3 linked regions of the Oryzias latipes genome follow. The protein of the gene in region 3 interacts with the protein of the main gene of each other region in a pairwise test. Links are inferred from orthologs where the notes say so. Each region holds a gene or a part of one and is shown on either strand. Other genes may lie near its edges.

Region 1 (3,753 bases), on a different chromosome or scaffold from region 3:
AGATTTAAAAGAAGCTCTTTTTGTGTGAAAAACAGCAATTGTCATTTTCATTATGTTTAATGCAACCATAGACATAAAACACTCAGGTCTGATCTGAAAGCTAAGGAGTTCTGTTACAGCAGATCAAAACAGCATTTAGTGCCATTATTACTATACTGCAGGCATAATGAGTGTGTGCAGCAGTGAGGTCCTGCAGGACTATAACAGTTATTTCTGCCTGTAAGCTGTGCGTGGGACATAAACGGGGTTTGAAGGCCGGTCCCGCTCGCTGCTGCTGTCAGCCTGGTTCACATTAGGCCTTCATTAGAGCGGCTGCATGCCTTCAGCAGTTCAGCAACCGTCACAGGGAGCCAAGCTGAGCGCCGTCCGCTCCGCCTGCCACTTCTCCCTGCTGGAATGCATCATCTCGGAGGAGCCAGTGCGTGTAATGGAAATTCAATTGATTACAGTTTCCAGCGTTGAGCTGCACAGTGTGAGGCTGTGTTAAACAGGGAGTTCCCGCTGTTCTGAAGCGCGGGAACTGTTACCTTAAACCACAACAAGGGAAAGGACTTTTACACATGAATCCCACCTGAAGGCCCTCGCTGATGCAGACGTTTACGGCTTTCTATAGCCAAAACATGCGCGCCCAGGAGCTTTTATAGAGAAAATGTTCTGATCTGTGGGTCATTTTTTGCAGACTTGGGATTTTTGTTTCTGTCTCACAGGCTTTAGTTAGAAACAACCATCTGCCCCAGTTTTCATGTATAGAAACAAAATAAATTCATGACCATGCCCGTTTACAGGCTGCAATGAGACACCAACAGTCTCACAAAAGCAAGGAGAATTGTCTGCCAAATGCACAGGAGTGTGTGTTTGTGTGTGTGTGTGTGTGTGGGGGGGGGGTTCATTGGCCACCCCCTGACCCTCTCAGAGAACTGCGGTGAGTGAGAGCCCAACCAAGTCAATTTAGTCATCACTTTATGCAATACAGTTTGTTGGAAGGCCACACCCCTACCACTTGAAAGCGGGCTACACAAAATCTGTCATGCATTCTGAGCGTTTGGATGAGGCGGGCAGCAGGCTCCACCTACTTTTATTGAGGCATCTGATTGGTCAGTTAGTAAATTGAATAACTTGAACTACAGAAAAAAATATCACTAAAAAAAGAGAATTATCAAGAACATGTTAAAAAAATGTAGCAGAACAAGAATGGTTACTCTGAGAAGTTAAAATACTGTAATAGCTGTTGTTTTGAACGCCAGGGGGGAACGGTCACTCAGTCCAGTTCTCGTATACAGTCAATGGCCACCCCAACAGAAAAGTGATTTGTGCCTGGTTAAATCCATAAATCAACACCCTCCCCCCACCACCACCAACAACACCACCACCACACAGGGAGAAATGCTAAACAGCTGATTCAGTCAGTTTGTGTTTTTCACTGCAGGCAAAACTAGCTGCACATCAGAGGATGGATGATGGACAGATAAGTGAGACGTCTGTCAGGTTTTCTTCTGAAAAGTCAGGAACACAAAAGTTCTCATGGAGAATGTTCAGTTTAAAAAAGTAAGCGATTGAAGACGGATGTTTCCAGACGTGTTATACTCAACCATCATGAGAATCCTGTTATATATTTTTGCTCTAAAACTTCTTAGAAGACAAATTTTTGGATGCTTTCTGCTGAATCCATCACCAACGAAATACAGAAAGAAAGAAAAAATACATTAGCAATGAAGCATCTATATTTCATATTTTGCCTCTTCACAGTCAAAGCTGTTTAATTCTCCTTAACAAAAGCTCTGGCCCCCCACAAATGTTTTGGACTCCCGCTGCCAGCACAACACATTCAACACCAACATCAAAATACGTAACACTCGCAGCTGCCCTCTTGAGGTCATTCCATGTAAATCTGGTTTAATGCATTCTCCTCTGGTCCTGGAATTCTGTCATCCTGCATGTTTTCCGAACATCCGGGTCCTGTTTGCTGCTAATTACCTGCATCAGGTGTGTTCAGTCAATTAAAACCTTAAACCGTCTGGCTGTTCAGCAGTGATGTGGGACAGCTGGGAAACACGCTGGTGGAGAATCATCAGAAAATCAGAGCTGAAGACCACAGAACCGGACTCGCTTCTGTCATATAACGGATCCATTACCGGACCAGAGAACACACCGGAGCTCCGGTGGTTATGCTCAAGCTTGACGTCAACCTGTCGCCGTCATTTCAACCAGCTTTGCTGAACGTGTGAGGCTTTTACCTTCCAGTTCTTTGGAAGCCAGCGGCTCTCTCTCCGACTGGATGGGCAGAGTTGGAGACTTTAGCCGCGATGCTTGTCCCGCGTGAAGCCACCACGCGCAGCTCAGGACGCACAGCAGGGAGCGGAGCGCGCAGGGAACCAGCATCCCAAATCTCCAGAAAAGGTTCTCCGAAAACGCCTGATTTGATCAAACAAAAAACCAATGACTCCCGCGCGTTTAGAGGCCCCACGTGTGAGTTTCCCTTAAAATATCCAAAAGTTTGAGTCGGGTAGATGTTTTCCGCGCGGAGGCAGTTACTCAAAAGCTGCAGGCTCCTCTCTGAGCCGTCCCTCTCGGTTTTATAGCCTGCCTCGCTGACAGCCTGAAGCAGCCACCGTTAGGGAGGAGGGAAGGGTGGGATGAAAGATGGGTGGGGGTGGGCGATGGAGAGGAAATGGACAGCTCCGTGAGACTTTATAATATGCAAATAGCTCTGCTGAGGAATCGTTTTGCGTTTCAGCAATCATCTCTAAATTTTGACGAAAATGACTCGTACTGCGTAAACCTGGATTTCGGGGGATTCCTCATTCCTGATGTGAGTGATGATGATGAGGACCAAATGTTCGCCTATCGGGCAGATTGTCGTTCGGTCTCCTCATAGATTTATGGCTGCTCTGCTTTGATTTCACACTCTGCAGCCATAAAACCTGAAGGAACACTTGTTGGTTGTGTGGAAGAGCTCACCAAAGTCATCTGACACCCACAGAAAGCGGAGTTCTATGAGCGCTCCTGCCGAGCGAGAGAGTGAATCTCCAGATCATGTACAGTAAGGAATGCGCTCCTTATTTTTTCAACTGGAGCTCAGGCCTAAGTGATTTAACAGTAACAAATGAAAATGTTTGGGATTCTTTGAGACAGATCCGTCTTCTGCCGTTTTTTTCTGCTGTTTTAAGGTTTCTGTGAAGCTCCTGGACGCTGTAGGAAGCCTTATGATTTACGCAACTCATCAGGCATCCCTGGGCATGCGCAGGTGCCAGAAGTTGAGTTTGCTGCCAACGTTAGCCTCACATTATGAGAAAATGCAACATGTCTGGAAAACGTATCCAGCAGAGTGTGGAGCGGGTCAACTTCCATAAGTCTCCTGGTGTGCGTGTGTCTGTGTGTCATTAGTCTTCTTTTTTGACTGATTTATGACAAAGTTCATTATGAACTCATAAGCCCATACCAATACTATGATTATAAAAACATCAGAGACTGTTTTGGGTTTATTCTGGCGCATGAAAGTGCGCCTTGCAGCTGTTATGTTAAAGCATGTGAGCCACCTTACGCAGCCTTAGCAAGGCGGGGGGGGGGGGGGGGGGGGGGATTCACGCGCCTCCATAGCGCCCCTCAACACCAAACCGATGATGGGCTGTTAGCACTCCATCACAGGGTGATAAGCGACACTATTCTCTTCGCTCGGTGATTCATTAAGCAGGCGAGAAGGGAGGCCAGATGTGGATTACGACTGTCTCACTGCAACCAGAGCATCCTTTGCAT
Region 2 (3,029 bases), on a different chromosome or scaffold from region 3:
AGGACTTCTTGCTTCACCGCGCACAATAAATTAATACTTTAAATACCTGGATCGACAAACCGTGGGAATAAATGTGTCTATTTTTTAACCAACTGATATGAGCAGTTTTACAGGGGAAGACTTCCCCCTAGTGGCCAACCTGAGTCTTTCACTGATGCCAGCCAGGTTGGTGAGTGCCATTAGTGCTTCAAAATTCTGCAGCAGGGTGCAATTGAGGCTCAAAAGGCTCACAAGTGGACGCACGACTTCATAGATCTGAGGGGAAAAATGAGGTTTGCAAAGTGAAATAAATATCTCAAAGAAAGTTGTTTGCATTACTATCTCCCATTCTTACCCTCTCTCCTGGAAAAGCAATCTCTGGATTGGATGTGATGGCAATTTTTGCCAGGGCTTGTGCAGCTTTGACTTTTCCTGCATCTGTGTTTTCGGTTGCGAGTGGAATCAGAGCTTTCCCTCCACCTTGGGCCACCACGGTTCCCCTGTCTTCCTGCCGTTCTACCAAAGCCAAGAACACCCTGCCAAGGACACGTGACGTTAAGCAACAGAGAGGGGGGTCAAACACACATTTTCCTTCCTTACCTGGAAATACACTCTTTACAAGCCTCAGTGAGGGCAGGACTCTCTTGTTTAACCATGCAGGCCAATGCAGATACAACTCCAGCTTCAAGGAGCTTAACCAGCCTTTTCTCCACATAAGAAGGTGCATCCTGACACATAAAGGGTAAGGACAGTCAATTAAAACTCCTGCAAAGTCCGATTCATATTCTATTTGATTATTAAGGATGGATTTTTCTGGCAGATCTACAAAATAAGGCAACACAAAAATGAAGAATCCTACTTTGGGGTGCTCCTCAGGCACATGCTGCTTTGCATACTTGGCAAGCTCCACCATCTGGGGGTCTGGTTTCTCTACTTCATAGCTGTTTGTGCAGTTCACTAATGTAGAGCCCACAGCGAAGAGCACAGTCTTATCTTCAGACTGCACAACCACAAAAAAAACAACAACAACAACACATTTTTCAGCCACCATCCAAAACAAGGTTTCATTTTTAGATTTCTTCTCTTCTGTTTGGTAACTATTTAGAGAAACTAATAAAATAAACAGGTAAACCTTTGCCAGTTCAAACATGGCCGTGAGAGCGTGCTTGTCCTCCACCAAGTCTTCCTTTACATCAGCATCAAAAGTCAGGTAAGCGAGCCCTTCCACAGACCAGCGGCGGGAGGTTGGAGGTAGAGACTCGTTACACAGCCACCTAACAGAGGAGAAAAGTGAGGCCAACTCCAAGTCTGTATCACTTCACTGCAGTCATGTCAACAAGTCAGAAATGATCACATTTTTTTAATTGAATTCCAGGTTCGGATTAGAGCATGGAAACCTACTTCCTGCACTGCTTGGCAAGTTTGCCCGTGGATCCTTCTGCAAACTGCTTCATGCTGAAATCTGTGCCTCCTGCTGACCCAAGCTTGCACAGACCCTGCGATAACATTAAATGATTAGTTTTATCTGTGACCAGAGGAATGCACAACTCTGTGGAAGCACGTTTATGCCACAAAGGTGGCTTTAAACATTTAGAGACTGAGATTTTTTTAAATGAATTATAGATTGAAACTTTTGAATTTTTAATAGGTTGAATTATTTTTGGAAAGCCCCTCAACTAAGGGTTCAAAAAATAAATGATGGCGCACTTCCTGGTTGTAACAACAACACTTGCCTGACATAATACACTGGGTAAAGGTTCAGCATAAAAAAAACAATTAGCTGGAAGCCAAAGTTTGCAAAGAAAAATAAGAGTTTACTGTTCTGTGTGGACCAAAGAATTGATTCTTCTAGTCTTATTTTTAACTTAAATGTTTCTAAGGAGAAGGGTCTAAATATTTGACTAACACACTGGTGGTGTATAAACCCAGGAGACCACAACGCTCGCAAGAAAAGAGGCTGCCTTTGCTGCTCAAAGTTTATAAATAAATAGTGGGATGGTAATTTTTAGCCTGAATGCAGCTCAACTTTGATGCCAACAAACCTGATGGTTTTAGAAATAAAGCATTCATCGCAGTTTTTTTTCGTGTCAACTTAAAACCCAGCTCTGTAAGAAAGTCTTATACGTACTTTTAAATACATTTAGTATCGTATAATAGTGTTCATCGTATTGAATTTAACACTTTCATCTTTCATCTTTCAAGTTTGACGTTTCTCAAAGAATTTTTCTTTTATTACTTGAATTGCTGGGTTGCCATGGATATCTCTGAGGCATTTTGAGATCGTATTGTTCAAAAAAGTTGCTAAATAAATAAAGTCGCCTTAAAAGATTAGCCTGCGGAGAGCTTCCTTTCACTAAGCAGTACTACTTCCCTCTATATGAAGCACTTACCACCAGGGCTCTCACGCGTATCCTGTCATTCTCGCTGGTCTTGTAGAGGTCTTTCAGAAGAGCCACGCCATTGGCTGTGATAAAGGAGGCCCTCTTGGCTTTGCCCGCCGCGTGTATGAGAGCTTCGACTGCTATTTGCTGGTGAGTAACATCTTTGGAGGCACAGAGCGAGATCACTGCATCCATCATTCCGGACATTTCTAGAGTTCGGTTTCCCACATCGCTTGGCCCTTGAAGGAGCACAGACACCGTTTGGATGGCGCGCAGCTTTGCATCTAGAGCAGACTGGCTAAAATGTTGCCTAACCACACAAAAAAGGAAAAATGTTTCAGACACTTAAGAATAACTTTTGCTTAAACTAAATAAAGAGCCAAAAGTTAGTGGAAAGTGAAATATGTGTTTGGCTCACTGAATGTATTCTTCACATATTTTGTTAAAGTTCTCCCTCTCTTTGTCACTCTTCAGGTCATCGTAGAGTTTGCTAAGCAACACAGAGCAGCTCATGTGAGTGTTGTCCGTAAGAGGTGGTCCATCTGAGAGTTCAGGAATGCTTCCGGCAACCTGCAGGATTTTCTTCAGCCCTGCAAGACAGCAAAGTGTGCTTTAATGTGCAATGGAGTGCAGAAAAATCACTTGCCTATATAGCAAGTATATTTTCTG
Region 3 (3,653 bases):
CGTCCTGGAAAAATAAGCCTCTGAGTGGAAAAACCTGGAGCCGAATTCTCCGCAGGTCCGTCTGCTAAACACGTTCTGCTCAAATAAACAGGCAGAGCCAAGAGCCACATCTGCACTCGTCACCTCCAAAGGGCCGTCAGCTGACGCGGCGCCCGGCTGCAAGCGTGAAGCAGACGGCCACATGATAACAATGAGGGCTCATCTGACTGCCGGCGTGATCGAAAACCCCATCCCAGGAATGACTTCCTGTCACGGACCGTAAACAGGAAACGCCCCCAAAAAAACCTGAAAACAACTGAAGGAGAGATTTCAAAATAATGAACTGAGGTTTGGGATAAATTTAAGAGATGACTAAATATTAGATATTAAATAAATAAAAATTATATTTTCAAAAAGTTCACTCTGAATTATTTCAGGCTAAAAATCATTTTTAATTAAAACATTAAAAAAAATTTGTTTTTTTTAACTAAAAACTACTTCAGACTAATTTCTTCTTTGCAACTCAAAATGAGTATATAAGATAATTAGGATAAAATATAAAGATTACTTTGTGATCAACCAAAAAATAAACAAGAGAAATGTTTAACTCCTGAATTTGTGGGTCAGAGCTTCGTCTCTTTGGGCTCAGAGAACCTCTGTGGGGATCAGCTGAGCGGTTCCGCTGTAGTCGCAGACAGAACCGGAGCGGATTCATGTCAGGGTGTTTAGGGATGTTTTTTCCGCTGGTCTTCGTGGTCCTGAAGCTTTGCAGACGACACGTTTCTTTGATTCTTTCAACCTTCATTGGTCACTACAAAGGTTCTGATTTTCTGTGAGCATCCAGACTGAAACCACTGGACATTTCATCCAGAAGAGTATAATCAAAGCTTTTCACTGTGCCTGCTGTCAAAGAGGCTTTTTAAAGACAAATCCATGGATCTCCTGTAACCACTTTATTTTTTATTGACACCGTAAATGTTTGTGACTGAGATCTTTGTTCCTGAATGTAGTAGAAGTTAACTCACAACTGTTGACAGCAGTGGAAGTAATCTGGTTTCTATCCTATACCATCATTTATTCTGCAGGAAGTCCAGATGAAAGTCAGAAGGAGCCGGCATGACAGTTTTTTTGTGTTTAGTCTTCAATCGCTTTGAGTGTTGCGATCCCGTTTATGGGTCGGCCTTCCTGATCCCTTTTCCAGTTCTACGGGCTCTGAATCCCACCGCCGCGCTTCTCCCCACGCCGATGGTCAGAGCGGGCTGCTGACTCAGGCAGCTGTCTAAATATCAGAACCCTTCGCACGAGACCCTGCTCACATCGGGTTTCACCGTCCGGGCCAGAAACCGGAGTGAAACCTGAATTTAGATGCAGCAGAACCTGAGAAGTCCCTTCACGTTGAACCCATTTCACCCGTTTGTTGGTGTTTCCTGCCGTGAAGCGGCGGCGTGAGCGGATGAGTCGGTGGTATTTAGTTTCAGGGAAACTGCCCCTCTTTCCCCCTTTTTTTGGGGGGGGGGGCTCGGGCCTCGCAGAGGGAGGGCAGCTCAGCCAAGTTTATGGAGCTGTCAAGGGAGTGGTGGCGCTTTTAAAAAGTTACCAGATTTTTTTGTGGAACAATAAAAGGTGCTTGAAGTCTTACTTTGCGGAGGCATCGTCGTAAAAGAGCAGCAGGAAAGTGTCCGATGCCTGAAAAAACAAGTCTGAGAAGAAAAGCCGTTTGTCCTGGAAAAAGCAGGAGAAAAGCTCGGAGTCGTGTGTGAAGAGCTTCCCTCACGTCCCCAAACGGCATGCCCCGTCTGGGTTTCCTATGTTTTTCTCAAATTATTCCGGCTTTTTTTGTGGCAAGATGAAAGTTGGAGCAGGGACCTAATTGCTGTGGTGTAGCGGCTGCGCCATAAAAACCTTCTGCTGGTTGTAACTCCAGCCCTGCTCGGCGGCTGCGTTACGCTCCGGATTTTCCTTATTTTTTTTTTTTTTTGGTCTTTTGAGGTGGTGTCTGAGGGAATCGGGGAGAGCAGAAGTTTCAGAGATGGAGTCAAGGTCAAAGGTCACCAGAATGCCAGCGGCAGGCCGGGAAGTCACGTGTCTAGTGTCGGAACATCTCAGGAGGAGGACTGCATCTCAGAGACAGCAGAGAAGCTGCAGGTCCGACGGCAGGAGTAACGCACAGAACCGGACCGCAGATGAATTAGCCGGCAGTTGCTGCTGCCATCCACCACCGTCTGCACTTGAAGCTCATCCAGCAGACAAACCGCAGCTCACAACTGGAAGGTTCTGGAAGCCAAACGTGTTTTCTTTGGAAAGTTGTGGGAAATATCCACAACACAAAGCGTTTCTGCAGAGCTGGAGGGACCGCGACTCTCCAGCCTGAGTTGTGCACTTTTGTTGTTTGAAACGATTCCGCCTCCTGAAGGAGGATTTTCCTGACAACCAGTGAGTTTAATGAAATGAAAGCTGCAGATTCTTCAAATCAAATCCCTGTTGGGAGTGAGGGCCCGCCTGCAGCCGGGGGCCTCGCCGCAGGCCGCCGCCGCATGTGCTGCTGTCGCCCAGCCGCTGAAAGAATTCGGAAACACTGACAGGCCGCTCTCCCCGGTGCTTTTAGTTTGCCCCACTGTCCTGCACCTGCCCCCCAGCTCTGTAAATCTGCTCCCATACCAACTCGACCCTTTTCTGCTTTCAGAGTCCCAGGACGGGAACTACAAGTCTGACGGCAGCGGCAAACCCAGGAAGGAGCGGACGGCCTTCACCAAGGAGCAGATCCGCGAGCTGGAGGCCGAGTTCGCCCACCACAACTACCTAACCAGACTAAGGCGCTACGAGATCGCCGTCAACCTGGACCTGACTGAGAGACAAGTAAGTCGCAGCTTGGTCCCCCCGGGTTTCCCTCCATTAGCACATTAATGCCGTGTTGTGAAAACAGAGCTGGCCTCAGGACGACGACTGGCTCTCTGTAGCTCCGTCTGGGGGCTCCAGATGTGGCCACGGGACGGGGGCTCTCATGTTCCAGATGTTCCCTCGGGCGGAGGGAAGTTCTGTGGAGCTCGCACTTCCCAACACCAGAGCAGCAGACAATCGCTTCAGGGAAGGAAGCGGCCCACTACCTGTTGTTGTCGGGAAACCTTCTGCAGGAAAGGCAGAGGAAAATCCACTGCTCCCCAAAATATCACTTGAGCTTTTTTATGCTGCTTTTCAAATCCCAACCACTTTTGTGTTTTTATCCGATTTACTCTTAAAACATCCACAAAGAAAATGTCCCAAAATGGACTTAATTTGTGTTCTTAGATGTTTCTAACCTTTTTCTTCTCCTCTTTGTTGGCAGCAAACAAACATCAGAGACATTTTTCCTCCAAAGTAGATCCTTGAATCAAATTCTTCTATCGTTCCCAAAACTGCAGTTAACAGTCAAAACAAGCAGGTTGTGATGATTTTATCGGCATTTGTTTCCTGGAAACGGATCCAAGTCGACGCCGTTCTGACGGGTCTGTTATTTATGAATCTTTAGCTTCATTCATCAGAAACGCTTTAAGGATTATTTGAAGAATGAAGGTAAATTTGAGCTTTATATGATTTGAGATCATTTACACTTTTTAAAATTTCTCTTCTGGGTGAAATAACCCAGTGATTTTACTGAAAAATGTTGAATATTTTTATAAAATAAATTCAACTTAATG

The links.
Region 1: the proteins of meox2 (region 3) and chrd interact in binary tests that used the Homo sapiens proteins (3 or more experiments, as listed by UniProt). The two-hybrid records come from large-scale screens. The link is inferred for Oryzias latipes from reciprocal best matches to the Homo sapiens genes MEOX2 and CHRD.
Region 2: the proteins of meox2 (region 3) and unc45a interact in binary tests that used the Homo sapiens proteins (3 or more experiments, as listed by UniProt). The two-hybrid records come from large-scale screens. The link is inferred for Oryzias latipes from reciprocal best matches to the Homo sapiens genes MEOX2 and UNC45A.

What each region holds. Positions count from the first base shown.
Region 1 is NC_019871.2:18,974,182-18,977,934, forward strand, and holds the start of chrd (chordin), read right to left. Parts: upstream 2,749-3,753; 5' UTR 2,380-2,748; coding exon 2,235-2,379; intron 1-2,234. UniProt on the Homo sapiens protein: Dorsalizing factor. Key developmental protein that dorsalizes early vertebrate embryonic tissues by binding to ventralizing TGF-beta family bone morphogenetic proteins (BMPs) and sequestering them in latent complexes.
Region 2 is NC_019864.2:22,119,335-22,122,363, forward strand, and holds part of unc45a (protein unc-45 homolog A), read right to left. Parts: intron 2,951-3,029; coding exon 2,779-2,950; intron 2,671-2,778; coding exon 2,370-2,670; intron 1,476-2,369; coding exon 1,381-1,475; intron 1,254-1,380; coding exon 1,112-1,253; intron 980-1,111; coding exon 839-979; intron 708-838; coding exon 580-707; intron 516-579; coding exon 335-515; intron 256-334; coding exon 140-255; intron 1-139.
Region 3 is NC_019874.2:31,200,237-31,203,889, reverse strand, and holds part of meox2 (homeobox protein MOX-2), read left to right. Parts: intron 1-2,662; coding exon 2,663-2,835; intron 2,836-3,653. UniProt on the Homo sapiens protein: Mesodermal transcription factor that plays a key role in somitogenesis and somitogenesis and limb muscle differentiation. Required during limb development for normal appendicular muscle formation and for the normal regulation of myogenic genes.